Linked DNA regions of Tamandua tetradactyla. The protein of the gene in region 4 interacts with the protein of the main gene of each other region in a pairwise test. Links are inferred from orthologs where the notes say so. Each region holds a gene or a part of one and is shown on either strand. Other genes may lie near its edges. The genes, in order: TOP3B, CHD2, GPATCH2L and TRIM41.

Evidence for each region.
Region 1: the proteins of TRIM41 (region 4) and TOP3B interact in binary tests that used the Homo sapiens proteins (3 or more experiments, as listed by UniProt). The two-hybrid records come from large-scale screens. The link is inferred for Tamandua tetradactyla from reciprocal best matches to the Homo sapiens genes TRIM41 and TOP3B.
Region 2: the proteins of TRIM41 (region 4) and CHD2 interact in binary tests that used the Homo sapiens proteins (3 or more experiments, as listed by UniProt). The two-hybrid records come from large-scale screens. The link is inferred for Tamandua tetradactyla from reciprocal best matches to the Homo sapiens genes TRIM41 and CHD2.
Region 3: the proteins of TRIM41 (region 4) and GPATCH2L interact in binary tests that used the Homo sapiens proteins (3 or more experiments, as listed by UniProt). The two-hybrid records come from large-scale screens. The link is inferred for Tamandua tetradactyla from reciprocal best matches to the Homo sapiens genes TRIM41 and GPATCH2L.

Annotation. Positions count from the first base shown.
Region 1 is NC_135331.1:25,990,332-25,997,981, forward strand, and holds the start of TOP3B (DNA topoisomerase 3-beta-1), read left to right. Parts: upstream 1-4,645; 5' UTR 4,646-4,747; intron 4,748-7,650. UniProt on the Homo sapiens protein: Releases the supercoiling and torsional tension of DNA introduced during the DNA replication and transcription by transiently cleaving and rejoining one strand of the DNA duplex.
Region 2 is NC_135338.1:91,296,513-91,304,369, reverse strand, and holds the start of CHD2 (chromodomain-helicase-DNA-binding protein 2), read left to right. Parts: upstream 1-4,846; 5' UTR 4,847-6,325; coding exon 6,326-6,426; intron 6,427-7,857. UniProt on the Homo sapiens protein: ATP-dependent chromatin-remodeling factor that specifically binds to the promoter of target genes, leading to chromatin remodeling, possibly by promoting deposition of histone H3.3.
Region 3 is NC_135338.1:35,427,908-35,434,869, forward strand, and holds the start of GPATCH2L (G patch domain-containing protein 2-like), read left to right. Parts: upstream 1-3,959; 5' UTR 3,960-4,087; intron 4,088-4,096; exon of another isoform or gene 4,097-5,868; intron 5,869-6,284; 5' UTR 6,285-6,294; coding exon 6,295-6,956; intron 6,957-6,962.
Region 4 is NC_135346.1:3,322,708-3,330,137, reverse strand, and holds the start of TRIM41 (E3 ubiquitin-protein ligase TRIM41), read right to left. Parts: upstream 3,009-7,430; 5' UTR 2,253-3,008; coding exon 1,431-2,252; intron 1-1,430.

The DNA.
Region 1 (7,650 bases), on a different chromosome or scaffold from region 4:
AGAATGAAGTTGTTCTCATACATCAGGTCATAAACATTATCTTAAAATGGATCAGTGATGTAAATATAGTAGCTAAACCCATAACATTTCTAGACGATGACAGGAGAAAAGCTACAATGGCCTTGGACATGGTAGTGGATTCGTCAACTTTACACCAAGAGCACAAGCAACAAAAGAAAAAATAGATTAATGGGACTTCATCAAAATTAAAAACTTTTGCCTATGAAAGGACATTTTTAAAATATTTTTATTATACACAACGGACCGACATACCAACATTATTGACATACGAACATTCTTGACATGGTTACAATCAGTGGGTCACTATATTATCACATAGTTGTGTCACCATGATCATTTTTAGAATATTTGCATCACTCCAGAGAAAGAAATAAAAAGAAAAAAAACAAACTCATACATCCCACACCCCTTACGTCTCCCTTTCATTGACTACTAGTATTTCAATCTACTCAATTTACTTTAAACTTTGTTCCCCCTATTATTTGTTTATTTTTATTCATATTTTTAAATTTAATTTATTTTATATTATCAAACCAAAACAACATACAAACATGAACATTCTTAACATACAAACATTCCGTATATGGTGCACAGTCAATGGCTCACAATATTATCACATAGTTGTATATTCATCACCATGATCATTTTTTATAACATTTACATCATTCCAGAAAAAGAAATAAAAAGAAGAAGAAACTCACACATACCATACCTTTTACCCCTCCCTCTCATTGACCACTAGTATTTCCATCTATTCAATAGAGTTCAACCTCTGTTCCCTCTATTTTTTTTCTATACCCCTTACCACTTCCTTTCATTGTTCACTAGTATTTCAACATACTCAATTTATTTTAACATTTGTTCCCCCTATTATGTGTTTATTCTTAATCCATATTTTTTACTCATCTGTCCATATTGTAGATAAAAGGGGCATCAGACACAAGGTTTTCACAATCACACAATCATATTGCAAAAGTTATATCGTTATATAATCATCTTCAAGAAACAAGGCTATTGGAACACAGCTCAACAGTTCAGGTACTTCCCTCCAGCCAATCCAGTACACCATAAACTAAACTAAATAAACTAAAAAGGAGATGTCTATATAATGTGTAAGAATAACCTCCAGGAAGGGACATTACTGAAAAAGCGAAAAGAACCTACAGAATGGGAGGAAATATTTGGAAACCTTATATCTGAAAAGGGCTTAATATCTAGTATATGTTGAAATATAATTCAACCACTAAAGACAAACAATTAAAAAATGAGCCAAGGCAACACAACAAGCAAACTCACCACCCTCCCCCTGTCTACGTGGGACATGACTCCAAGGAGTGTGGACCTTCCTGGCAACGTGGGACAGAAATCCTAGAATGAGCTGAGACTCAGCATCAAAGAATTGAGAAAACCTTCTCCACCAAAAGGGGGAAGAGTGAAATGAGACAAAGTGTCAATGGCTGAGAGATTCCAACCAGAGTCAAGAGGTTATCCTGGAGGTTATTCTTATGCATTAAATAGATATCACCTTGTTATCTAAGAGGAAATGGAGAGGCTGGCTGGAATGCCTGAAAATGTAGAGCTGTGTTCCAGTAGCCATGTTTCTTGATGATGATTGTATAATGGTGTAGCTTTCCCAGTGCGACTGTGTGATTGTGAAAACCTTGTGTCTCATGCTCCTTTTATCTACCTTGTCAACAGATGAGTAGAACATATGGAATAAAAATAAATAAGAGGGGGAACAAAATAAAAAACATGAGCCAAGGTCTCGAATGGACATTTCTCCTTATAAGGTATAGAAATGGCCAATAGGCACATGAAAAGATGCTCAAAATCATCAGCCACCATATTCAGTAACTGTTAAAAAAGGTGAAAAGGTGATCAGACTTCATCTAGAGGTGTGAATGAAGCTGATCTGGACAAGACTAAGGTAAATCAGAATACTGGTTAAAGAATGATATGGCCCATATTTTTCAAACTTCAACTTCTGTATGAGACCAAAGGGAGAGATGCTTATTGGGTGCAAAATTTATATTTGGGTAGCACATTATGGAAGGATAATAAAGATAATAAAATCTAATTCCCAGGGTCGTAATGAGAATTCGGTGAGTGAATATAGCCAAGTCTAGAAGAAAGTAAGCAGTGGATGTTTGCTAACTGTTACGGGCATTGATTACCAGATCATGGGCAACCTGTGCTCAGCTGGAGAGAAGAGAGAGGAAGGAGACCCCACTCGCCCTAACCAGCCCCCCGTGCAGCGTGTGAGGAACGTGAGGAAGAGGTGAAGAGACTAGGCTGTGGTGGAGACACTCCACGGCTCTGCTCCTGAAGCTCCAGTTTTTACTTATGGACTCTCCTCACCCCTTGGGGAAGGGACTCTCCCTACGAATCTGCCCCTCCTCCTTGGGGGAGCCCAGTTCTTCCTAGTGTGAGGAGAGGGACAAGCCCTTTCAGCGGAGTTGACTCTAGGCCATTACTCTCCATCACTGGAGGATGCACTTTTGGAAAGGACTTCCCATAACCCTAGAGAGTGGAGCCAAGTCTAGATGATTTGTCAACCTAAGAGCTCACAGGAAGGGAGTGGCCTGGCTGGCAGCCCCCTGGGAGGCCTATAGGGATGGCAGAGAGCACAGGACAGCTGTGCAGTTTCTCCAGTGTGACCAAGAGCAGCCCCGAGTCCTCCAGGCCTCCAAGGCTGATGTCTCAGCTCTGCCTGCTGGGACCAGGCCTCAGGTCCTCACTCCAGCTCAGCAGAAGGGGCGCCTGAGATCGGTTCAATGAGCAGAGGAGTTCTGGTTCTCCCCACCTCTCTGTCCTTCGTTTGCACTCCCCAGATCGAACCTTAGCCCTGGCCGGGTGACTGCTCCTCTATTTTCTGGAGCCCCTGAGAGAACAGAGTAGAGGAGGCAGGTGGAGACCAGGTGACCAGGGTGAGACAGTGATGTTTGGATGAGGGGTGCGGGGCAGGCAGACGGAAGTAATTGGATCTTGAATATATTTTGAGGACAGTCCTGGCAGGATTTGCGTTGGGATAAAGAGTGGGAGAGAAAGAGAAGAGTCCAGATGCCTCCAGGTCATTAGTCCTGAGCAGGATAGAGTTGCCATCTCAGGGTTAAGGAACCTGCCAAGAAGTAGTAGACTTGAAAACAGAAGTCAGGAGCTCTGTTTTGAGACTCCCTGAGTTCCCTAAGACTCTTAATTTCTGCCATTTCCCAATCTTAATTTGACCCCAGAGCTTTTCTTTTTCTAGAGTACCTCTCATGGTTGGCATTCCAGTAATGGCAGGTTGGGAGACGTGTCTACAGGAAGCAAAGAAAATGTGTGTCCTTGTTTAAAAGATATTAAAACGAGATTATGAAAAGACTTTTCAGCTTTCCAAAATTCTGATGCTCTAAAAACATAAAAGTTCCTTTAGTTTTTCAATCCTTTTTCCGGATACATTTTGCATAGTTCATTCTTTTCGTGCACCAAATGTTTGCAGTATTGAAAGAAGCCTGCTGTACACACAACTGTAGTTTGTAGTGGTTTTTTTTTTTTTAACTTTTTTTTTGTATACTATAACATATACAAAGCAAAGAAAGACAAAAGCAATAGTTTTCAAAGCACTCTTCAACAAATAGTTTCAGGACAGATCCCAGAGTTTATCATGAGCTACCATACCATCATCTCAGTTTTTTTCTTCTAGCTACTCCAGAATATAGGAGGGGAGGAGGCCTAAGTATTTTTTTATGATCACAGTCGATTTTTTTTCTTTTTTTTGTGAAAAATAACATATATACAAAAAAGGCAATAAACATCAAAGCACAGCATCACAACTAATTATAGAACAGATTTCAGAGTTTGGTATGGGTTGCAATTTTACAACGTTAGGTTTTCCTTCTAGCTCCTCTAAGGTACTAGAGACTAAAAGAAATATCAATATAATGATTCAGCATTCATACTCATTTGTTAAACCCTACCTTCTCTGTATAACTCCACCATCACCTTTGATCTTTCTCTCACTCTTTAGGGGTATTTGGGCTATGGCCATTCTATCTTTTTCTTGTTGAAAGGGGCTGTCAGTAATATGGGGGTAGGGGGATGGAACTAGCTGATGTTCTGGAGAGGCTGGGCCCTCTGCATTTCAGGACTTATCTGGTCCAGGGACCCATCTGGAGGTTGTAGGTTTCTGGAAAGTTACCCTAGTGCATGGAACCCTTGTGGAATCTTATATATTGCCCTAGGCATTCTTTAGGATTGGCTGGAATGGTCCTGGTTAAGGCGCCTATAGTTTCAAATTGTTTCAATCCTTAACAGTATGCGCTTCTCCTGGTTATTCCACACCCACTGTAATGCTGATTGTGATTACTGCCATTAAACAGGTTGATAGGTGCAGGGAAGGGTCTGGGGACCCTCCCCCCGCCCCCCACAGATTTCAGCAGAGGGGTCAGGGTGGCGGATTTAGGGACTCCCTTGCGGATCGCGGCGGGGAGGAACGTGAGTAGAGGGTTGGGGGAAAATGGGAGGTGGGTTTGAGGACATCTTGCAACCACAGCCTGGAAGACCCCAATCCGCCCAGGCTCCCGGAACGCACTCGCTGCGGAACCTGTGCGGTCCCGCACGTGCGGGCACCGGAAGGCAGATGCGAGGACGCCGGAGGGGGCCGGAACCGGAAGTGGGGGAGTCGATGGCGGTCCCCGTTGCCGGCGTGGGAGCCCGAGTCCGTGGTAGAGCCGCGGTGGCGCTGTGGGTGAGCGGCGGGCGCCCGGCCCGGGCCGCGGGAAGCGCGGGCCTCCTTGGGGCGCTTGGCCCGAGGCCTGAGTCCCCCGGGTGGGGTCTTTGCCTTCTCGCCGCCTCTTGCTTTGGGTGATCCCGGTCCTGCGCTCTTTGGGGTGGGGTCTGAGGGAAACTGAGGCTCAGGCAGGCGTGACAAAGATCAGGCCCAGGTCGGGACTGCCCCACGTCCACTCGCCGCCTCCTGGGCCGGGAGTGGGACTCGAAGGCGCTCAGGCACTGCTCTGACCTGCAGTCCGTAGTAGAGGCCGGGAGGGCCGTAGGGGACCCCAGGGCGAAAAGAATGGGGGTGGCCTCTTGCCTCTGTTGCTTCCACCTTTGGAAATCGAATGTGAGAGGCGGATCCTGCGAGTCTGCCCTGGGGTTCCAAGACCTTTAGAGAGGCCTTGGGACAAGAACTTCACCTGGCAGTAGTTTGAATTGTTCTGAGCCAAAAAAGTTAGGGCACTTACCTTCCAGGGTTGTTGGCAAGATTACATTACAGCATGCCTAGTACAGAGGAGAAGCTTGTTCTGTGTCTAGAGATAGGGTCTCCCAAAGAACATACTGGATGCTCACCTGGGCTGGCTACTGGTGTGATACAGGAATGAGAGACTCCAAGGAAGCGTTTTAGGATGAAACTTTTTTCCAACTTTTAAGGGGGATGGGAACCTCAGAAGCCCTCCCAGAACAATCTTTCCCATTTGTTGCCACATTTCCTCTCTGGCTTCTGGCTTCTCTGGGTGAGAGAAGGGGAGTCTTTTACAGCCTCACTCCTGGGCTCCCAAATTTTGGGAGGCGTCAGAGCAAAAGACATCTGGGAAGAAGTGACAGTTGAGCTCAGCATCCTAGGCAGATGTCTGGAGGCACACACCCAGGAGTGTTTTGCTCACAGGCGTGAGGAGGTCCCAGGCATGGGGTGCACACGGCATGGCGGTGGGAGCAAGGTTGCAGTGTCTATCCGGGTTGGGAGAGGCGTCAGCACAGCCACCTGATCTTAGTTTTATACTTCGGGGTGACTGTGTATTTTGTGGGGATATCCCTAAAGTATTTGCTTTAGGGGGAAAAAAAGCAATTTACTGTTTTATTCAAGGTGACTTTCTCATTCAAAGTAAACAGATTTCATTGTGGTCATACAGTCTGGGACAGCAAGGAGCAGGTTGACAGGCCCAAAGCAAGTCACCAGGAGAAATCATGAGGACTAGTGAAGCCCCCCAAGGAAAGGTGTCTGATTGGGCTTCTTTCCTGAAGGGCCTCGTTCCCAGCCCTCCTTTGTTCTTCTGGTTTCACTTTATTTTGTCTTTATTTTTAAATGTGTTTGTCTTTGTTCTTTCTCATCAGTCCCATATCTATATACACTGCCCTGAAATGTAAATGGTCAGCAGGAAGCTCTCACAGCCTGACCTCCAGATCCTGGTCCCTCAGATTTCAAACTGTTTCTTTTGAGCAGTACTCAGATGCTCTGCTTTTTGTAAACAAGCACGTGTGAGTGTGTGTATGCCCACATTTGGGATTTACCTGGCTGATACGACCCCCTTTAGCATTCGCAGAGCAAATGCATGTCTTTTTGCCAGCCCCCCTATCCCGCTGTACCATACCCCTTACCCCTCCCTCTCCTTGACCAATAATAGTATTTCCATCTACCGAATTTATTTTAACCTTTGATGCCCCTATTTGTTTATATTTTATCCATATTTTTTATTCATTATAAAAGCTATATAGTTACACAGTCATCTTCAAGAGTCAAGGCTATTGGAACGCAGTTCAACAGTTTCAGGTACTTCCCTCCAGCCACTCCAATACACCATAAACTAAAAAGAACTATCTGTAGAATGCATAAGAATAACCTCCAGGATAACCTCTCGACACCCAGCCAGCTCCAGGACACCTCAGCTGTAGGAGAGAAAGCAGAGCCTTGCTGATGCCATGATTTTAGACTTCCCCTAGACTCAACACTGTGAGCCAATAAATTCCTGTTATTTAAGCCAACCCATTGCGTGGTGTTCATTGTAGCAGCCAGGAAACTAAAGCAGTGCTTTTGGGAGATAGTGCCAAGTTGTTCCACATACACGTTGCCCCAATTTAAGTGCTACCAAATAGGTTTCAGTTTGCCTGTTTTCCCACACCCTCGTATACAATGTGGGCTGAGACTTTGGATCTTTGCTTGTGAGATGAGTACAGTCTTATCTTGGCTCTAGTTTGCTTTCCTTTTATGTGTTGTTGGACGTCATATCACAAACGGACTAATTTCCTCTTTATATAGAGGTGCCTAGAAACCAGTAAGACAACAATTGTTCTGAAAACAGTGGGTAAATTTTGGAAAGACTGTTGAGAAAACAGGAAACCAAATGCTTTTAAACATGAAGAGATGGTTCTGAGTTTTGAAGTACTTAATTTTTTGGTTCTTTTAAAATTTTTTATTCCATATTGCGATTAATTTGACAGTTCGTGTTTTCTTCCTGTTTTGTTTTGTTTTGTTTTCCACTTCAGTCTTTGCTAGGTGTGGAATCTGATCTGATGGAAGGGTGTGAAATAGAAGTCTAACTTAATTTTATTTTCCAGTCAGTTTCCCAGTTCTCCCGATACCCATCTTTTTCATATGCTCCTATATTTATAATGACCCAAAAGACAGGAAGGTTCTTAGATTTGCTTTACTCAGCCAGCAGGTATTAAATGTTATATATTAGGCATAGAGTTGGCTGGAGCAATTGCCAACAGTACTTCAGACACAGCCTCTCAGGAGACAAAGCGGTAACTAACTGTGGCGTAATGTGCAGCAGGTTTTGATAGTCCATCCTGAGAATCATGGGGCATGGGACACAATGGTTTACCCTGCCACTGGGTATGGGGAATTGTTAAAAAAGAATTAATGCATGAGCT
Region 2 (7,857 bases), on a different chromosome or scaffold from region 4:
AGGAAAGAGTCCTTATAATATTTATAAAAGAACTTAAAATTTTGTGGTATAGTAATGCTTATAATAAATTTTATGTAAATTTGCCATTGGATTATTGGTTTGTGGTTTTCTTCGGTACAGTTGGGAATTTAGATTAAATGACTCAAATCGTGCCATAGATTATGCTTACATTTCAAATTCTAGGTGAATATCATTTTCATTGATTGTAATAATCTAATTCCAGTTTCAGTAATTACTACAAAGTTGTGGTGGTCTTTAATTTGATAGGCCAAATGGATAATTGATTATATTTTCCCATTATACAGAAACAAGGTATAGTTCAAGTCAAAATTCTTTTGGATAAAAATTAGTCATACTGTCTTTATGATTACTGTCAAATACCATAGTGTGCATATCTGTGATCAATACATTGCAATATTTGTTCTCATTGGTGGAGTGAAGTGCTTGTCTTTGTTTAAATTAAACAGTGGAATTTTGGATTTGATTTTGTTACAAAAGCTAACCTTTTTATAGAGTGTACAGAGTTGAGATTGTGCTTTGATAATGGATTTTATATTTACCTAGATTTAACATTGTTTTTTAGTATGACTAAAAAAGAATGGATTCAGTGAGGGAAGGAGATGATTCTTGCAAGTTATATTGTGATAAGGAAGATAGATTGGATTTTGGGGGCATGTGACTGTACTTATACTTAATTTTACTTGTTTGATTGAGGAGTTTTGTGAAAGGGTGTTGAATAATTGCTTTCTTTTGGCACAATAACGATTTATTTCCATAAATCTCATGTTTTTAATATTAAGGAGAATTTGCCCTGGATCATTATTTTGGTAACTTGCCATCAGATATGACCTATTTTTATTTACTTGGAGTTGTTGAAATGGGTGTGTAGATAAAATTGGATTCGAAATTCGAGAGAAGAGTTGGGATATGTGTGTTCTGTTGATTTTTGGGGTGGAGTTTCTTGGGTTTGTGATGGTAGGTCCATACTCTTGAATTTGAAGAGTTTTGTTTTGCTTGAATCAGTAGGGAAGTAAATATATTGTGGTTATGGGAATTTTTTGTGGGTAATGTTTCCAAGGTTATATAACGGGTTAAGGAATTTTGTGAAGAAAAATTGAAATTCTTGAATTAAAAGCTGGTTGCATTAGCTTTTGCTCTAATGCAATTGAACACTAGGGAGGCGCTCTTGAGTTGTAAAAGTTACCCCTTTCTTCCATTTGGGATGGAAATTTCCCTTTAAACTTTGTCTTTAGATGATTTTTAGGCATTATAAAGAAGTGAAGACTTGAATTTTAAGAAATTGAGGTTTGCTTTTTGTTTTTTTTTAGGGGGGAGTCATTTTACCCATGGAGGGGGTAATATTTAAAAAGATTAGTATTAAGGCTTAGCTGTAGATTCTGTAGGAATTATCCCTCTTTCAAAATGGCTTGACAAAAACACTACTTCCTGTCCAGAGAGGAAGTTATTTTAGCTCAAGGACTGAAATATTTAGCAGATCTTTAAACAAAAGGAACAAATTACATTTCTCTCTGGCTTAAAAAGGGTGCCTGAGCAAGAGGGGGTTAAGAAGCCCTTCCCCCTTCCCTTGTTGGGGTAGTCTGGAGGGGCAGAGAGGAGTGGGGGTGGGGGTCCTCTGGCTCCCTGGGATGGAGGATCTTTTTTCTTTTTTTTTTGGTAGAGATGAAGGGGTGGGTCTATGGTACATCACCTGAGTTGTGGGGTAAATGTAGAGAGTGTCAATCAAAGGCAGAGCTCTCAGAGCTGGGAAGGAGGCTCTAGATGGCGGCTGTGCCTTAGAGAGAGCGCGCTCTGCTCCCTGTCTTCGCCTCACTTTACGCAACTTTCTCTAACTTTCGGGCAACCTCAGGGGGCCCCCGCAGCCCCCTGCCTCTCCTAGGGACTTGCTAGGGTCGATTTGGACCTTTTTTAGGGAGAAAAGCAGCTTTTAGAAGCTTTCTTTTCGTGCCTTGTTGGAAAGAAGCAGCCGTACTGAGAGCCCAGGTCGTTGTTTTTTCCAGCTTAGAAGCCATGGCGCACCTCCATTTTTGTGCGCTCTCCTAATGGAGGTTTTTTTTCCTTCCGGACCTGTTTTAGTATTAATTATTGCCTTTTTTTTTCGGTCAGTTAACATTTTGAGGATTATTTAATTTATTTTTCGGTTTTAAACGGAGGATTTTGCTTTTAATTTTAATTTCTTGGGATCTGCTATTTTTCTACTACTAGATAGGACTCTCGCTTTGGACCTATTACATGGATCAGGTAAGTTCTCGATCATTAGTGATAATTTTAAAGACATATGTTTTAAGTTTGCTTTATTTTCTGTAAATATGAGAAATTCCTGGATGACGCAATAAGATACAGAGATTGTTATTTGTATCCAGTGTGTTACTTTGGAGAAACTTTCCTTATTGATAGTGATGCTTCCCCTATACAGTTTATCCTGCCTTTTTTTTTAAAGGAAAAAATAGAAATATGTATATGTATTGGTGTTTACCGTTGTTGTATTACAGCAGTATCGTTATATCGTCAGGACTTTGCTCCTGATGATTAAAAAAACGATAGAAGCCGGGACCTTACCTTTCTTTCAACTTTTGACAGTAAATACCTGGGCACAGGACTTCAAAGCAATCACAGATTTCCCCTCCCCCTTAATATTTAAGAATTAAAAGATGATGAGAAATAAAGACAAAAGCCAAGAGGAGGACAGTTCGCTACACAGCAATGCATCGAGGTATGAGCTATCAACTTTATTCCTTTTTTCTTTTTTTTTTGGTGGGGGGGGAACCGCAGCTTACATTGTTTACTTTGACAGACATGGATTACTGTCTGTTTTATTTTAAGTATTTTACTAATTTGGATTCATTTTTTAAAGCATGACCTTGAGATTGCTAATATGCCACACCCTAATTTTTTGGTAGCAATTTATGAAAGTTGAGTTGTGACTTAAGGCCTCTTACAGCAGTCAAAAGGTAGGGTACCTTTATTCAAGGGGGCCTGTCCTTTAAATGATGCTTTTTCTGACAATAAATTTCAGTTTTTAGGTTTTTTTGTGCTGCAGAAAAATGACCTTGTCGGTTTAGCCATTGCTGCATTGCACCATTTTACATACAAGGCAAATTTTTTCTTTGAAGAATCTAGGATATCCAAACTTGTAACTGAGGGCCATAGAGGAGCCTTGTAGTAGTAAATTATAGTAAATAGACATTTGAGGAAGTTACATGAATGAAAAAATGTACATGTTAAAAAGAAATTGCCAAAAGTATCCTTTGACTGATGTTACTCAGTTCATATTTTTATTTGACTCTGTATTTCTTTTGATACAGTTGACATTTTAGGAAATTTTGATATGATTTCTCAAAACCTTTACTTTGATGACTACAGTTTCTGTATTTATGAAATCAACTCTGTAATCACAAATCCTGGAATTCTGTTGGTATTCTTCTGTTTCTTCTGTTACTGTGATTATATCAATAACTGTATATTTTTACGTTTGAAATATTTTAAGATTTGCGTTTGTATGGTTTATATGCAGACAGTGCTTTCTGGTTGGTAGATGTAGTATTTTATCCTCACATTTTAGTTGTAGATGCTTTAAAATTTTATTGATTTATTTCGACAGAGTCATCTGGAATGGTTTATCTTCTGAAGCTTTTTAATGTACCATTTGTTCAAATAATATGTTGCAAAATCTGCTGGAGTACCTTGTTAGTGACCAAGTAATAAAACCTTTAAGATGATTTTGTTGTATGATCTCTGTATATTAATTTTTAGGATAAGGCATTTCTTGATTTATGTTCTTAACAATTATTAGAACTATAAATTATAAATCATACAATTAACAAGGATGTGATTAGTTATGTGATTTTTCCTCCCCATTTTGCTTTTAGTTTTATAATTTTATTATACATTAACTTATTAAGCTAGTGAATTTGAAAGTTTTGAACTTGGTTTGCTTATTGCAAATGCTGAATTTTATGTTTTATTACACTTCATAATATTTTGACCCTTCTTTTGAAAATGTTTCCAAATTCTTTTGCAAATTGGGTTGCACACAGTTTGGAATGACTCTTTTGACTGAATTGCCCATATATTTACCTAGGTTATATTTAGGACAGAAAACATCCCGGTTAATCCTGAACTGATTTCTCTAGAAAGTAAGGGCCATTTGAAGAAACAGGAATCACCCTCCCCCACCCCCAGGTGTAAAATTATTAAAGAATACGATACCTAAAATTATAATACCCTTGCGTGCATGATTTGCATAGTCTTACATGGGTTTTTGCTTTCTTATACAAGGTTTGTGGTTAACGTTGATCAGGTTATGCTTTCTAATTAAAAAATCAAGCAGTTTTCCTTTTTTTGTTTTTGTTTTTTTCTTTTAATATTTTTACCTCACCTGAAAAATGTTTGCAAGTTGTCATTCATTTACCTACTAGCAGTGAGGTAACAGCTGAACAAGAAGAATGTGCAATATTTTTTAATGAGTTTGTCAACTATACTTTGAATCTTATACCCCTAATGAATGTTCAAAAACATGAGACTCCATGAAGAGAAGATGGAGTTACTTTTAAGTTCCTGTTATCAAAAATTGGGTACCTTAATACATGTACATAATTATGACATCACTTCCTTTAAAAAATGTAAACCTGGAGGATGTTAGTGGTGTTTTACTGTAGTAGATTAATGCTATTTCTAGTGAGCTGTACTTGGTTTCTTACTCCATCAGTGTCTCCCAGTTAAAGTAGTTTCTATGGCCCAAAAGAAAGTGATTAGGAAATACTACAAAAATTATGTTTGCAGTCTGAGCTACAGGATAGTAAAGGAGTTGGCAGGTCAAATAAACTTTGATTTGAGATTCCTTTAGAATCTGAAAGGATTTTAGTGTAAATTTTGATGTTTTTTTCCTGATTTTGGAAATAGTGCATTTTTTTTTTAGGTAGTAAGTGGTTATATGTTTGTATTCCTTTGCTTTTTTGTACGCCTAATATGGTATACTTTGTATATGATTTCAGAAGAGTGAAAAGTTCACTTTCAAAAAACGTGATTTTTAAAATTTGGTGTCTGAATTTTCTAAATGTTTTCAACAAAAGATTCGCTATGTACAAGTAAATGTCGAATACCACACGAAACGGATTGAAGTTTGGGGGATAACTTCAGTAATATCAAAGGATGGAAACGGGGAAGAGGAATTTGAATTTGGAAAGGTGCTTGTGTGCACACACAGACTTCCGTGTGTTCTAGGACCCTACACTTGAAATTTGTCCTAAGAAGTGAAACCGTTTATGAAATTTATCTCGAAATTGTCTGCTTTTGAGCTAGATTTATTTTGATAACCTGAGGGGCGGGTGAAATCGTCTGCTTGTCACCGGTCATTTAGCAGTTATTCTAAAAAGCTGGGGATGATTAGCAGTGGCATAATGCAGTTGCTTGTGGGCTGTTAAAGCAGAGGGGCAGCCATTTTATGACACTGTTAATTCTTAAAACGGAACTTCGGAGAAGAAAAATAAAACGAAGTCTGAGAAACAGAAATACCTTTTTATTTGCCTCCACCTCTCCCCCTTTTTGGTGCTCTGGTGCTGAAATAAAGGGAAGGTCTGTAGTTAGAATAGGCAGCAGAGCAACTCCGTGAGCACTGGCATCTTGGTGCAGGTCCAGCTCAGTCACAAAATGGCTGTTCCTTTGTGCCGCAGCGCTGACAGACATACTGCATTGCACTGTGTACTCGGCAAACAGCAGGAAGTTGCCGTGTGGAGTTCAAAGGCCGTTCGGCGCCGGTGCTGGCCTCTGATTGGCTGTGCGCGGGCCTGGTAACAGCTGGGTCAGTGGTGCCGCTCTCGGGCAGGCCCCGCCCTGTGATGTCAGGTTCCTCGCCGCCGGGAGGAGCGAGCGCGTTGACGTCGCGTCCCGGCTACTTCCTCTCCCTGCGCAGCGAATCGGCCGTGTGGGGGGAGGGGAAAGGAAGAGAATCTGCTTGGGACTTTCCGGTGGGCGGCTGTCGCGCTGACCGCTTTTGCCCTCGGCAGTTCTCCGCCCTTCCCCGCGCTGTAAACGCCCCACCGCGATTGTTTGCCCTTCTCTGAGACTGGTTTTTCGCTATTTGAAGGGCCATGTGTTTTCCGAGAAAAAGTAAAACGCACTAATCGGAAGCTTTCGATAGGAGACTTACTAGTTTTTACGATTTTCGTTTTTCTTTTACATTTTACCGTTTTTTTCCTTCGGTGCGAAGGGATTAGTGAATTTAGTTGATTTTGTTCCTACTGAAAAATCGTTTAATTGACAGGGAATTTTTTCTTATTGAGACATCTTAACGGGTATTTCTTAATACATGGCTCATAAACAAAGGAAAGATTATTTGAACTTGCCCCCGTGTATTTTTAATTGGTTCCATACATTTTCTCATTTGACATTTGATGGAGAAAATCTCAGGTCAGTATGTGTTAAGTGATTTATTTCAAAGATTCACGATGAGCTGGTCAAAACAGTTTTCTATAAAGTAAGGTTAATTGTAAAGTGACAGCATTAGGCATTCTTTACTGTGCGAATAGGCGTCAGAAGACAACTCAAGCTTTAATGCCCCTTGCTAAAGAAGAGCGTCTTCCAAAATTTGGCTGTTAGGGCAATTATTTGTCAAAAATCTTGAGAAACATCTTTTCAGAGTCCCCATACAGGAGATTTTAATTCAGTAGTCCTGGTGGTAAACTGTTGTTTGTACCTTTGTGGTTATGCTCAGTCTGAAACCCCCTGCAAGGATTTCTGGTCAAAAAATGTTTACCAACGACTAGCTAACGACTCTGTCACAAGTAATGAATTTAAACATAAAACTGCGTTTAAAACATGAGGAAAAAACGATTAGTGAATTTCTTTTTTGTATGCTGAAAAGTTTTTTCGATGTCATCAAAGTGTTTTTAGTGGAAACATGAATAAATGTCATGTAGTATGCCATGGTTCAGACTTCTTAATTTTGAGTAATAGATATTATGAAAAGTGTGGACCTCTTAAGTGTTAGTAGAGGTGTTTACCGGACAAAGGTGGGAAGATAAAAATTCATTGCAGTAGTTTATGTTTTAGGTTCTCATTGTCTATTATTTTTTTGGGAAAAATTCTTTGTATGGTTTGTGGAAGCTAGGTAAAGTATTGTGGGGTTTTCTTTTTATAGAAGTGTTTGTGAAAGATTCCCTAAGTGTTGGCATTTCCTCAAGTGTGGTTATTTATAAAATTTCTTCCATTGTTTTAAAATAACAAACTTCCATGGGGACAAGTGGTTTTTGAACTTGAGCTTTGATCATTGTTTGTAGTTCTTGAAGTTCACCTACTGCAGCATGAGCGAAGGTAGTAATCTCTTCCCTTTTTTGTGTATTAGGAGAGACTAAATTTTGGTCGGTTGTATTAACATTTTAGTAATTGCTGAATACTCTATACTTAAAGTGGGGTAGGAGTTAAGCATTGCAGTCTCGTTCAAGAGAAGGATATAAATTATTGTCTATGAAAGACGTTTTAGTTCAAAGTAAATATCTTTACTACGTAATTAAAATGCATACCATGATAGAGCAGTTTATCTAGGAATTGCTTGCAGTCCACTTAGAACCAATTAGCTTTTTATAAGAACGAGTGTTTATTAGGTTTGTTTTGAGCCTTCTGCTTATTTTTCAGAGAACAGCAGAAAGTGGCAAGAAAAGAGCATTTGATTGATATCTATTTTGTTTTGGGTTCTTGCTGTTTTAAGCTCTAAAACCTGTAGTTTCCAAATGGTACTTGGCTCTTGGGAGATTATTAGCACCTTTTGTAAAAATTAAACTGAAGGAGGTTGGGCAGGCATTATTTGATAAAGAGTTTCAGTTGTAAAGCGTATAAAATTTG
Region 3 (6,962 bases), on a different chromosome or scaffold from region 4:
AGTAATATATCTCCAACATTTGTTAGGTGTCAGCTGCTGGAAAAAATTCTGGAAAGATGCCAGGAGGTCTTGGATCAGTTCAGAGAAGAGTCAAGGCAGGAAAAAGAGAAATGGCAAAGAACTGTGGAGATGAGAGAATGAGGAATTCATTCCTTTATCAAATGTTTACTGAGCGCCCTGTGATGTGCCATGCACCGTTTAGGTACTGGGGGACGGGGAGTGGGGGTGGGTACAAAGGCAAAAGGACAGACAATGCCCCTGTTCTTATGGAACAGGAATAAACAAGGTAACGTTGGTTTATGGTAAGTGCCATAAAGGAAATAAAACAAGGTGGTAAGATAGGAAGTACTTTAGATCATATTAGGAAGGGACTCTCTATGAAGGAGACATTTTAGCCAAGTTCTCAAACGTGAGAACCAGCCTCCCTACCCTCCAAAACTCTGTAGAAAGGTCTTAGGAGCATGACAGCATATGCTAGGGCCCTGGGATGCAGGGAGAGAGAGTTTGGCTTGCTGCACAGGGAACAGGGCCAAGATGAGGCTGAGAAGAAGGTAGGGACCAGATAGCATCTGGTTGTGCAGGCTATGGTGAGGACTTCAGTTTTATTATAAATGCAGGGAATCCAGTGAATCAACAGTAGAACTTTTTTGTTTCTTTAAAAAATGTTTTCGTGGGGAGTTAAAAGGAGAAACCTCTTATTTCTTCCCCATGTGCAAATCCTTTTTCAGTGGGGATTTCTTCATTCAACTAAGACCTTCATTCTAATGGCAAATTGAGGGAAAATTCTGTTTACTAAACTCTTTTCCTCTTCTCAGTAACTACTAATCTTTTTGGAGGACTGCACCCAGCTAGTCAGTCTTTGAGCGTCACCCACCCTCTTCCACCCACCTCCCCCAACTTCCCCTTGCGGTCGGTTCAGAACTCTTTATCATTAGTGATTTCCTTAATCATTATGTTTGATGACCTTTCCTTAGAACTGCTCATTCCCAATTTTCCTTTTTTTCCTCTTAAAACTCTGCTCTTTGGCTTCTACACATGATTTTCTTCAAATGCTCTCTGCCCCCTTGAAGCTATCCCTTTTGTCTCCTTCTTTGGCTACCTTCTTCCCTCCAGTGGCCCTGCTTATGGCTTCCAAACCACCTAAAGGTGGATTTTTAATTTAAATTTTCTCTTAAGATTGGAAGAAGTACTTCTAACTCCCTGCTCCAGCCTTTATTAACCAACAGTTGTTTTTTTAATTGACAGTAGTTACTGAGCACTTACACATGCAAAGCACCATGCCAGGGTCTGATGTGAATATGATGAGTAGACAGGGAACCATGGGTTTCATTTTTGCTAACACAGGTATATCTCCAGAGCTTAGCATTGGGCCAGGCATGTTGTCACTGCTCAGTAGATATTTGTGATTTAGGTGGGAAGGTAAACTTGCCCATAATTGACTCTAGTTCAAGGTTGAATGAAGAAAATGCTGCAATAAAGGTGCTGGCACATGCTGGAAGAGCACAAAGGAGGAGCCAGAGAATGGGAAAGAACAAGGAAGGCTTCCTGGAGGTGGCATTGGCACTGAGCCTATAAGTCATCCCAAATCCCAGGGGTGTTCAAGAAATGGCAAGTGGTCTGGTGTGGCTCAACCATGTGGCAAGAAGTAGAGGCAGATGGATGAAGTAACATGATCCAAATTGTATTTTAGGAAACTCAGTCGAGTGCCAGTGTAGAGAATGGCTTGTTTGGGAATAAACTGGAAGCAGGAAGAACAGTAAGGGGGCTGCTACATCATCAAGAAGAGAGGCTGTCTATCCAGAGGAGGTCAATGGCAGAGCAAAAGCAAAGGAGGGAAGATGGAGGCAAGATTCCTGTAGAAGTAGAATCCACTAGGTTTGACATTTAACTAGTTGAAGGGGTGTAAGGAGGAAGCAGAAACTAAATGTGGCTTTGAAACTTCTCACCTATGTAATTGCATTAGGTGATTTCCTAAAGGGAACACTTCAGAAAGGGCAGATTTGGTAGGGATTGGTGAAGAAACTGAGCTTTGTTTTGATATCTTAAATTGGAGATACTGGTGGAGTAAACAGGTGGAGCTATCTAGCAGAAAGCTGAAAATAATAGCTGAATTTCAAGAAATTTAGGAGCTCTCAGTTTTGACACTATAGGAACTAATGTGATTTGCCAGAGAATATCATCCAAGCAGAAAAGAGGGCTGAAGGCTGCAAAGACCTGTTGAACATTTCCACCTCTCTGTCGTGTGAGAGTCATAAATTCAGCATGTCCAAAATGGAATTAATCGTTTTCCCACCATACCTGTTTCTCTTCCTGACTTCTCTAGTTGGTTGAATGGTACCAACCATTCTCTTAGTCATTCAGGCTCAGAACTGCAGTCATTTTTGTCTCCTTCCTTAACTCTACACGAATTTCATTTACTGACGATCCATAAAGACAACAGTTAGGAGATAAAGCCATTTATAATGGGAGTAATTTGGACACTGTGTAGTTTATTATTTTGGTCATATTCCTAAGCAAGTTAGATTTAATTTCTTTTATACATGAAGTGTCATAGTATACATTTTTATCAAAGCATACAGCCATACAGAATGTAAACAATCATAAATCAGTGACTTTCTATGTCATTAAATAATTTTCCACAATCTCAATTTTAAAAGGCTGCAAGATATTCGATCCATAGATGGAAGTTACCATAATTTTGTTAATTAACCCTTGTAGCAGGATTTGACTTTTTCCTGTGTTTTCATTCCTCTCTATGCTGCAGAGATAAGCCTACTTATATTTAACACTTTTGTCCCCATTGCTGATTTTTACTTAGAATAAAACTCCTACAGAAGCAGAATTGTGGAGTCAAAAGGTACGAGCATTTTAAAAAGGAAATTTTTAACTTTGAAATAGTTTATATTTACAGAAAAACTGCAAAGATACTGCAGGTTATATATAGCCCACGTCCAATTTCCCCTATTATTAATATCTTATATTAGTATGGTACATTTGTCACAGTTAATGAACCCATTCTGATTCATAATTATTAATAAAATCGATACTTTATTCAGCTGTCTTCAGTTTTTACCTATCCTACACTTTAGGATACCATCTAAACAGCATTACATTTAGTTGTCATATCTTCTCAGGTTCCTCTTGACTGTGAGTTTCCCAGATTTCCCTCGTTTTTAATGACTGATAGATTTGAGGACTACTGGTCAGGTATTTTGTAGACTGTCCATTCATTGGGATTTGTCTGATTTTTTTTCTTATGATTAGACTGGGGTTATGGGCCTTGGGGAGGAAGGTATTACAGAGATAAAGCGCTATTCCTATCACATCCTATCAAGAATACTTACTTGCAACATGATGTCACTGCTAATTAGTTAACCTTCATCACCTGGCTGGAGCAGTGTTTGTCAAGTTTCTCCACTGCGAAGCAACAATTTGTTTCTGCCCCTTTTCATACTGTGCACTTTAGAAGGAAGTCACCATGAACAGCCCACCCTGAAGGAGTACAGGTACCACCTCTCTGAAGGTGAAGAAGCTGTATCAATTATTTGGAATTCTGCCTGTACGACTTGTTTGCGCTCTCCCATTTATTTATTCAATCACTTATTTGTATCAGCATGGACTTATAAATATTTCTTTTATATTTTATTACTACTTTATTAATTTTGTTGCTAAAGCCATGTTCATTTGTAATGCCCTGAGTAACTCACTGTAAAGCTACTGGGGCCAAAGATTAAACCATCTCTCATAGATAAGAATGTGGATCCATTCCCCCTGCAACTTTACACATTCTTTGTAAAAGTAGGTCAGCAAGTAAGTGCGCCGCCAACGCTTCTCCCCAGCACCCGGTTTACTGACGCCTCCAACAAAGGCGAGGACAGATCCCTGGTAATTCTCCAGGGCGGAAATGGGCGCGGTCGCAGGGCGGAAGCACCGGGTAGTGGGCGGGCCAACTGTTAGGGTCAGCCCCTCCCACTCCGCCACTGCTCCACCCCTCCGGCCTAGACCGGAAATGAGGTCAGAGAGGGAAACCCCGGCGGGGAGACTCGGCCCAAAAAGCTGTGGCCGTCGGAGGTGGCTGTGGCAGCCGGTGAGGGGAAGGAGTGGGATGAGAGGGCTGGAGTTTAGGGGGCCCGTGCCAGCAGGGATCTGGTCTTCGGGCTTTGGCTAAGCAGCTAGGGGCACCGTGGGGCCGCCGCCGCCGGTGGGAGGGGCCGTGGTGGCGGGGCCTTGCTTTTCAGGGCCCATCGTCCCCATTCCTGGGTGTAAGGGTCGAGCCGTCTCAGGGACGATAGTCCCCTCCTTTTCCTTCTCCTTTCTGTCTCTTTTGGGCCGGCGATAGCCTGAAGGCTGGTGTCCCGAGCCTTGGTCGTTCTAGCTCTCGGGGACTGGCTAGAGCCTAGGGTACAGCCCCCCTTGACACGCTTTTCGTCACGTATGCGACCATATTGCGATCCTCAACAGAGGGAGAGCGCAGCCGCCAGGACTTATAATTTTTTTTTGGCAGCTTCTGCCCTAGAAGTGCAGATCCCCTACCCCTGCTGAGCCCAGAGAAGTTGCCTCCTGTCTTCATCCTCCCTCACCTCAGCCTTCCTCTCTTCTGACCTCCTGTCCACAAGCTTCCTCTTCCTTCCTGAGCGTGACTCAGGCGGCCTCACCTCACCTTGTGTTCTTTTCTGGACCTGGGGGCTCCGCTCGTAGTGTGCACCCGAGACTGGAGGAGTTGGAATCCCAGGGTTTTTCTATCGCCCACTGCAGGCACTGCAGTGGTGGGGGCAGGAAAGAATTCTGTACACGTTCGAATAGAAGTTGTTTGATTGAATTCGCTCCATGTTAAAGTTGGTATAGTTCTGCCTGACTTTTTAAAGGAGTACTTTATCAGGGAAGTAGACTTAGACATGCTGCTCCTACTTTTTTTTTTTTTTTTAATCTGTTTTGGTCTGAGGGAAAGTTGCTTCCCAGACACAAATCTTGGCGTTTTAATCCACTTCTTATTACTTAAAGGGATGTGGTCTTTTTATGTGTGTGGCTTGTAACACTTGGAGTTTTGTTTGGTTGGTAGTTTTGGAACCAATGTCCTTATTGCTCCCACAAATGTGGCGATTAAGCCAGCAGACTGTTTTCTTGCGTTTGAATTCTCTGGCATAGGCACAGCGTGAAAACAGGTTTTAGAAAGCCCTTTGCAAAGTGTAAACTGCATGGACAGAAATATAGTCTGAGTGTGGCACCACCCAGGGATTTAAGTTCTAATTATGGTTCTGAAATACTTTGGGCTTAACAAGGGCTAGGGAAAAATGATCATTTAATTCGTATTATAATTAAACGTTGTACAAATTATGCTAGACATTTCCACTTAAAAGGGAATTTTGACAGTTGCTCCCATTACTCTCATCCCTTGAAGGTTTGTACCTGGTGATCTCTGAAGTGTGATGGTTTGATGAAAATGAGTAGAAAAATAGGAAATTTTAGAAGTCTTAGAGAGTCCACTTCATTCCTATAATCTTATTTCAGTTATATCTTGTTTTTGTATGACTGTGTGGTGCTAAAACAGTTGATTAGGATGATTACTAATTTATTTTTTGAGGGATGGGGAGAAGAATATAAAATCTGTTAATTATTCAAAAAATGTATGACCCACTCTAAGGTGCTATACCTGGTAGCTTTCAGGTAGTAGTTGGAACCAGAAAGGTGGAAATTTAGCCTTTTTTTTCTTCGGTTATGAATATAAACCTGTTTCATTACAAGTTTTTGAACCACTGAAACTGTAGTCTTTAAAATGTCTTGCTAAATTGTCTTTCTGTTCCCTGCCACATGCATTCTCTCCAGTAATCCAAGACTACAGAAAAATCGTTCATCGTGTTCAATATCATGGTGAGACTGGGTCCTATCCTATGTTACCCCAATTTTGCTCCTGTCTGATAAGACATTCTGTAATCTTTTTGTGTATCATCATCAAGTAATTCAATAAGTTTAATGGAGGAAAAGAGAAAGAGCTATTGCTCTGGGTTTGCTTGTTTTTCTTAATACTCCAGTTGTCTCCTGGTGAGCATTTGTGTTTTTGTGGTTAAGAATGTGTTGACTTTAGGTATTTAACAAGGGCCAAACACTATCTTTAGTGGCTTAAAGGAGCATGGATAGTAGGAACAAGGTCTAAATGTTAAAATGGCTTTATTTTCTATAGACAGTAGACTCTGGTAACATGATCTATTTTATAAAATTATTTTTAACCATCAAATCCTATTCAGGCTTTCTTTTTTCTTTTTTTTTTTTGAACTTCTTTTTGGCAGATGTTGCCTCATGGATGAGTTGGTACATGACTTGGCCTCAGCCTTGGAACAGACATCTGAACAGAGTAAGCTTGGTGAGCTGTGGGAGGAGATGGCCTTGAGCCCTCGGCAGCAGAGGCGGCAGCTTCGAAAAAGAAGAGGCCGGAAACGTCGTTCAGACTTCACTCACCTGGGAGAGCATACCTGCTGCTACAGTGAGGCCTCTGAGTCAAGTCTGGATGAACCCATTAAGGACTGTCGAGAAGTGGCCCCAGTCACTAATTTTAGTGACTCTGATGACACAATGGTAGCCAAAGGGCACCCAGCTCTCAGTGCTGTTGTTAAGAATAAGCAGCATTCTTGGCATGAATCTGACTCCTTTACTGAAAATGCTCCTTGTCGACCACTCAGGCGCCGGCGGAAGGTGAAGCGAGTGACATCAGAGGTGGCTGCTAGCCTTCAGCAGAAGCTCAAGGTGTCAGATTGGAGCTATGAGAGGGGCTGCAGGTTCAAGTCTGCTAAGAAGCAGCGTCTCTCCCGCTGGAAAGAGAATACTCCCTGGAACTCATCGGGCCATGGGTTGTGTGAATCAGCAGAAAATAGGACTTTCCTAAACAAAACGGGAAGGAAAGAAAGAATGGAGTGTGAAGCAGATGAACAAAAACAGGGCTCTGATGAGAACATGTCAGAATGGTGAGA
Region 4 (7,430 bases):
TCACAACTTCCCAAGGATGCATGGCCCAAAAGGCAGGCAATGCTAACAACACAATGATTCTCAAACTATGGGAAGCTTTCCAAAGACCTCCCTACCATCGATTCAGAATCCCTGGTGGAAGGGCCCCTTGTACCACTGAAAAGCTCCTCTAGGAATTCTCATGACCAGCCAGTTTATCAATCACCATGTGCACGGAATGAGGGGATGTGTGTTTGTCTTAGCTGTACCTCTCACAGCTGAGAAGCTCTAGATGCTTTCCTGTAAAATTGGGATAATGCTAACAACAAAAAAAAAGCACTGTGCGGATGACACAGAAGACGCCATCCTCTCCTCCAAGTTGTCCTACCCATCCCCTGCTACGTAATGTTCTCGCTGCCAGGTAGACACATCTCCTTTACCTATGTCCAGAAGGAGTCAGGGTCAGAAGCAGGGGGCAAGACATTCAGACTCCAAGGAGACGGATCACATGTGAGAAAAAAATCATACTAACCACCACCATGGTGGCAGGTGCTATCAACAGAGGCTGGGGGTGGGGAGTGGGTGGCCCTGTGCATGTTACTTGAACTTCTCTGGCTGTTTCCCGATCTGTCAAATGGGAATGGAAGCAGTAACCAAACCCACAGAGCTGTTCTGAGTTTTAAATGAGACAGTCCATGAAAAATGTTTAGGATGGTGACTGATATACATAGCAAGCATTCACTAAATATTAACTATTCATCCTGGAGAAATGAAAGGTTTAATGAGATTCAGAGACTTATCAGAGATTTGAAGATGAGTTAACTGGCAGAGCCAGGTCTAACTTAAAAGCCTCTTTCACTTGCTCTCTCTTTTTTCAAACTTCATTACCAGCGAAGGGAAGCTGTTCTGGTCAGTACGTAAAAATTATACAGAACCAACAAGGGTCCTCAGGGGGAGAACCAAGCCCTATCACGGGATGGGGAGTCCTACTCAGGAAGTAAATGCGGGGCATTTAGGTCTGGCACTAGCAGACACTTCTCTTTTCCTGCTTCGAACCATTCCTTGTTTTTTGGCTGCCCAAGTTCTTCCCGTCTCCGGGAATCTTAGTCAAGGACAGACTTCAGATTTACCCCAAGGAAAATGGGTCTGGTGGTAAAGCAGTAGGGACCTGTCACCTGCGATCCTATATTTAGGGACAGTGAAAGGGCGAAACCGCAGTGGCCTGCTCCCCAGCCGATTCAGTCCAGTGATGGAGCATCACCAGCTTTGCCCCACTTTCTTTGAGGGAGACGGTCTTTCCTGGTAGCCTTCACTGCACCTCTCCTTTGTCTGTGTAGAGTCCTTGCCCTCCTACCCCAGGAGAATCAGCTCACCAGCACGAGGTCGTCAGGGGGACGCGCTGTTTCCTTTCCAAGCTCCCTCACTTCCTCCTCTCCACCCGCTCAGCCCCGCGCCCTCCCGGTTCCGCTCACCTTGTACTCCTGCACCACCTCCTCCAGCGGCACCACGCTGTGCTGCTTGTGGCTCCTGGACTCTCGGCACACCACACAGATGGCCTCTTCGTCCACCTCGCAGAAGAGTTTCAGGGCTTCCTGGTGTTTGGGGCAGACGCCCTGCTCGTTCCCACGACTCACTCGGCCAGGGGTTGGGTGCATCTGCCGAATCACCTGGACCATGTTGGCCAGCTGCAGGTTGGGGCGGAAGCTACGCCGGGGAAAGCTCTTGCGGCACTGGGGGCAGGTGAAGCACCTCCGAGGGGTCGGAGGCGGAGGCAGTGGGGTGACCGGGTCTAGCTCCTCTTCCTCGTCCTCCTCCAGCACCTCCTCCTCGTCCTCCTCCCTCAGGTCCTCCTCCATGTCCCCCAAGTAGTAGTCCAGATCTTCCTCCTCGTCCTCCTCCTCCCACACGTAGTCCATAGTGTCCCAGCTGGACCCGCCCATGCCGCTGGTCCAGAACACACCCTCTTCTTCCTCCTCGACCTCCTCCTCCATGTCGCCCTCGTAGTCTTCGTCCTGCATGGGGGTGTCCCAACCCCCGCCGGCCCCCACGGCCTCCACTTCCTCCTCCTCGCCGTCCTCCTCCTCCTCCTCCTCCTCCTCTTCTTCCTCCTCCCGGTCTAACTCGTCCCTGTCCTCCTCATCCTCCCCGCCCCACAGCTGGGTCACACACACTCGGCAGAAGTTGTGCCCGCAGCCGATGGACACGGGGTCCGTGAAGTAATCCAGGCAGATGGCGCACACCGCCTCCTCCTGAAGGGTCTGCACGGGGTTGGGTGTCATGGCAACGGCAGCCATCTTAGTGTCCCGTCAGCGAGTGTAGATGTGGGGTGGGGGGCTGAGGAGTCGGGGGGGTCTTCCCTCGCGGGCGCCCGGCGACCCGGCCCCACCCCCAGCCCTGCCTCTCAACAGTTGGCCCCGACCGCAGCGAGAGAAATGTTCCCCCGAAAGCCCACCCCTCCACGCAAGAGTTCCCTACTCCCAGACGACGCCGTGTCCCCTGCAAGCGCAGGGGACAGAGCGGAGCGCCACAGCTAAAGGCCCCCGAAGGCCCTGAGTGCAAATCTGCCCCAACGCTCCCTTGGCCGCCTAAGAAATCCCCGCCCCCTCCTCTCTTCCGGGTCCCGCCCCCTCGCTTCCGGCCCTCTTCCCAACACTTCCGGCGTTTTCTCGCCACTCAGGCTCCCGAGTTCTCTGCACCGCTCCCACTACACCCCTTTCTTCCTCTCCGGGCCCCCGAACGACAGGAAGCGGCGAGGAGGCGCTCTAGCAGGCATTCGGGAATAGGGCAGGAGGCCTGGGAGGGGAAAGGTCCCCGTCTCTGTGTTGCGGGAGAGCCGGGAACGCAGAGGGAACTGAAGGATCGCCCTTCCCGGGTCTCCACAACTGGACAAAAATTTCGGGAGGCGATGAGAACGCTTGGCGGCCGACGTTCTGCGGGTGTTACGCCCGCATCGGCCGAGCGAGACCCTACAGGCCGGACATGGGTGACCGCTGAGGGGGCAACCCACGACCGTTGCCGGAAGCGGGGGGCGGCGGAGCCCGGGCGAGAACCCGGCTGCGTTTCCGGCCGCTCTAGGCTGAGGACTTTGTTGTTGGAGGACTCGGAGGTTCTCTAGGTGACGGCTCAGGGGGCGGGGCCTGGGGAAGTGCGTGAGGTGCGGCCGTTCCGCCCCCGCGTGGGAGACGTCCGCTCGTGTTTTAGAAACCTCCCATCCAGTCGCTGCAGCAGCGTTTGCTTGAGCTAAATGCCCATCAGTAAAGGAAGGGAGACAAAGCCCTACGTGCCCATCTACACAAGGGAACACTATTTAGCTATAGAAAGGAAATTTATCTGCAACATGTATTCCTTTTTTTTTAAAAAAAAGTTATTTATTGTGAAATACATATAGAAAATTTAAAAAGCAAAAATTTTCAAAGTATATGTTAACAAGTAGTTACACAACAGATTTCAGAGTTTGGTGTGGGTTACAGTTCCAGGATCTTTCATTTTTCCTTCTAGCTGCTCCAAGAAACTAGAGACCAAAAGAAATATCAATATAGTGATTCAGTAGTCATGCTCATTTTTAAAATCCTACCTTCTCTGTTATGCTCCTCCCTCTCCTTTGATCCTTCTCCCACTCTTTAGGGTATTTAGGCTCTGCCCATTCTAACTTTTCATGTTGAAAGGGGCTGTCGATAATATGTGTAGGGAGACGTGACTAGTTGATGTCTGGAGAGGCTGGGCACTCGGTTCAGGACTTACCTAAACTGGGACCGATCTGGAGACTGTAGGTTTCAGGAAAGTAGGCTTAGTGCATGGAACCTTTGGAGAGTCCCAGATAGAGCCCTGGGTGTCCTTTAGGGTGATCTGGAGACTGTAGGTTTCAGGAAAGTAGGCTTAGTGCATGGAACCTTTGGAGAGTCCCAGATAGAGCCCTGGGTGTCCTTTAGGGTTAACAGGCTGCAAGATGTATTAAGTAAAAAAAGCAAAACGCGGAACAGTGTGTAGGGTATGCAGCCATCTGTTAAAAAAAAAAAAAGTGGAGGACAAATGTTAAATGCAGTCGGCATATTTATATTCCTGTACGTGGGTTCACGCATGTAAAGCGAGGGTAAGCGCTCGTTCCTCGGAGTTTGTGAGGATTAAGGTCACGTGAAGCGGTTACAATGCTGCCCACCTCTCAGTAAGCGCGCCGTGTCGGCGCGGGCTAGTCTCGCCTGCGTCCTTTCTGCACAGACCGTCCGGGAAAGCAGCGGCGGGCCGAAGGCCAGGGCTAGGAAGGACAACCCTCCGTGTGCTTTTGAGTTCCGAAGCCAGCGAAGGTGTCACCTAAAAACAAAGCAAACGCTCAATCTTCTGAGTGCCGGCCGTGCCCTCGCCGCTCGGCGCCTCCGGCATGCGCAGGGCCTGGGGGTCCGCGCAGGTGCACGCAGGACCGCGCGATTGGCTCTGCTGGAGACGGTTCTGCGGGCCCCTGCGCGTCCCTGCCGCGTGGACCCCTGGTGCGGCAGAGGTAGCGCTTGACGTGACCTGTGTGATTAGAAAAGACCACCTTCGGGAGAAGTTCGAGGGCGGCAAGCTAGGTGCTCGGCCTGAGCTCCGGCTGCGCGCGCCCGGAGGTGCCACGGGGCTCCTGTGCGCCAGCTGCCCCCACGTCGGGCGGAGGCTCGTCCACACCAGCCGGAGGCGCGCATCCGCTCGCGTGGGTGCTGGCCACGTGCGCTTCCGCGCCGGGAGGAACCGAGCTAGAGGACTAGACGCAAGGCGGCCCCACAGGCCGGGTGTTCTCAGAGCGCCGCTGTGCCGCTTTCGCCCGCTGAGGTTTCCGTAGTGTAGTGGTTATCACGTTCGCCTCACACGCGAAAGGTCCCCGGTTCGAAACCGGGCGGAAACAAGGTTTTGCTCCAGTCTTCACTTCCACCGGCCACAGCCTCATTTCATCTCCCGGGCGCCCTGGGAAAGAAAGGGGAGACCACCCACGGAGAACGGCAGGTTCTGCAGGTGTGTGTCAGTGTCTCTAGGGGAGACGGCGTGCGAAGCAGGCTCGCAGCGGAGGTGGCTCACAGTAGGCGCTGCATAAATGCACGCGATGCGGACTCAGGCCTCGCTCCTCAGCTAGTCTGCTCTTTCCTCTGGATCGCCTAAGACAGAGCCGGGCGCTCAGTAGGCGCTCCATAAATACACACATATTTAATCCTGCAAAATTTGGGGGTGGAGGGGGGCGGTGTTTTTGCAGTCTCGCGTGTCGAACTCGGTCTCTAGGGAGGGAACAATCAAAACACCACGACCGCCCGGCTAGCTCAGTCGGTAGAGCATGAGACTCTTAATCTCAGGGTCGTGGGTTCGAGCCCCACGTTGGGCGAGTTAAGTTTTTGGAAACAGAATAAAGCGAGTCAGTGAAGAGTGAGGATACCTGTGGACGCATTCCTGCCTGCCTGTTCCCCCACGACTGTCCTGCCTGCTGCTATTCGTCCACCCGTTCACCCACATCCGACGCCTATTGGGTGCCTTCTGTTTACCGGCTACTCGTGTTATCGTGGACTGGTGCATGATCCGTCACCGACGCCTTGGGTGGCAGGCGGCATCCCCAGCACTGCATTCATGGGTGTCAGGTCCATACCAACGGATCTGAATCCAAACTCGGATACTCAAGGGTCTTCCTAAGTGGTTTGGTGGCTGGGATTCGGCGCCCGGTGTCCGGTTTCCAAGTCCTGGGCAGGAACAGGTGCTCTGTTTCGCACGAGACCCTCATCTTCAATTCTCTTTAAGTGCTTGATTCTAAGAGCCAACCTTTTATGGAACCACAGCACATACCAAACTCTGAAATCTGTCTTACAGGTAAGGATTGCGGTGTGCTTTGAAATGTATTGGGGTTTTTTTGTATATAGGTTTTTTTTTAACAATGAAAAAAAAAAAGCTAACCTTTTAAGAAACGTCGCCCCACATGTTCCGGTCCCCACTGCCCCCCACCCCCACCCCCACCCAGGGCTGAATTTGCCTTTTTTTCGAAACCCGGTAACACGAACATCCTCGGTTTGCCGGCCTTGTCCCGAAACTCTGCCTTCGCTTCAGGTAGGCTCCCTCCATACGTGAGCGCTGGGCCCTGGTCCTGCATGTCCAGCTTTCCGTCTTCCGACCGCCGACGTCTCCCCACGGACACGCCAGACCGCGGGAGAAAACTGCGGATCCGGTAAAGCTGGTTTGTCAAACTGGCCGAGCGCAGACGCGCAGCCCCGACGCGGGATTAGAGGTCTGCCCGGAGCGGTTCCGCGTTAGGGGGCGTGGGGGCGGCGCACTCCGCGGTGGCTTGGGCAGGGTGCGCCCTCTCCCGGGCTGCCGGCTCGGGGTCCCAGGGGAGTCACTGTGCTTGGGGTGCGGGGCTGCGCGAGCCGCTGTTCGGGCTGTCCGGACTTTGGCGTTTCTCTTGCCAACGGGTTTACCTGCAAAGTGTGGTTTCAGGGCCGTTTCTCACACCTTTACTGGGAGTGGGGGGGAAAGTCAGTACAGATCCTGGCTTGAGAAGCCGGAGTGGGCAGACCTCTTTCCTGTTTCCCAACACCGACAGCTCGCCGGTCCGAGTTCGGCTGCGATCTCTGCCGGTCCTGGTTTCTTTCTCGTCCAGGCCTCCCGCCGCCGCCCTCTGGCCCGGCCGGGTGGGGGTAAGTGCCCACCAGGAGTCGGCGAGCGCCGGTTCCGACGCCCCACGAGCCCGTGCTGGACCCTCCTGGGATGTTCGGTCTTTTCTTCGGTGGGGAGGGGGCCACCGAGGCCGGGGGTCTCGCTCCGACTTACACTTTAGAGGGACTCCTCCAGGAGCGACCAAGCAAAGGGTGTGAGGGGACTGCGTCCGGGCCGGGACGACGCGGGAACGGCCGGGGCGGAAGCCGGGGCGCCCGGACCGGGCAGTAGCCCCGGGACGCGCCGCTTCGGACCGCTGAACTGGGACAGGAGGGGTCTCCGCCGCGCGGGGGGTAGAGGGGCTCCCGGGTCGCCCACAGCCGGGGTCCCAGTCCCGGAGAGTTCAACCCCTCTTCCGATCTCTGGCTCCCCCTGGGCTCGGAAATCAGCGTGAAAGAAGAGAAAATTCTGCAGTTTTGAACAATTGCTGTTACGCTCAATTTCGCACGTATGTAGATCTAGGTACAAACTGAGTTCAGCTTCATCCCAGCTCTTTCTACTGGCCGTGGAACGCTAGGATTGATGTTTTATTTTCATAAAAACAACTTCCTGAGATGTTCAATGTAATAGCATTTTCAGTTTCGCTTAGATGACTGACAAAATTTTATATTCATTCAATTTTCCCCTCTCTCAACAGATAATGTTGCATAATTTAGAGCAAATATATAACTCTCGAAAACATATATAATATTATTCAATTTTTGATTATTTACATTTACTTTACATTTTGGTAACAATACAGTCTAAGCTCATATACTTTGAATGCATTTTATTTCTTTAATCATTTAGATTGCTGCCGTCAAGAGATTACAACT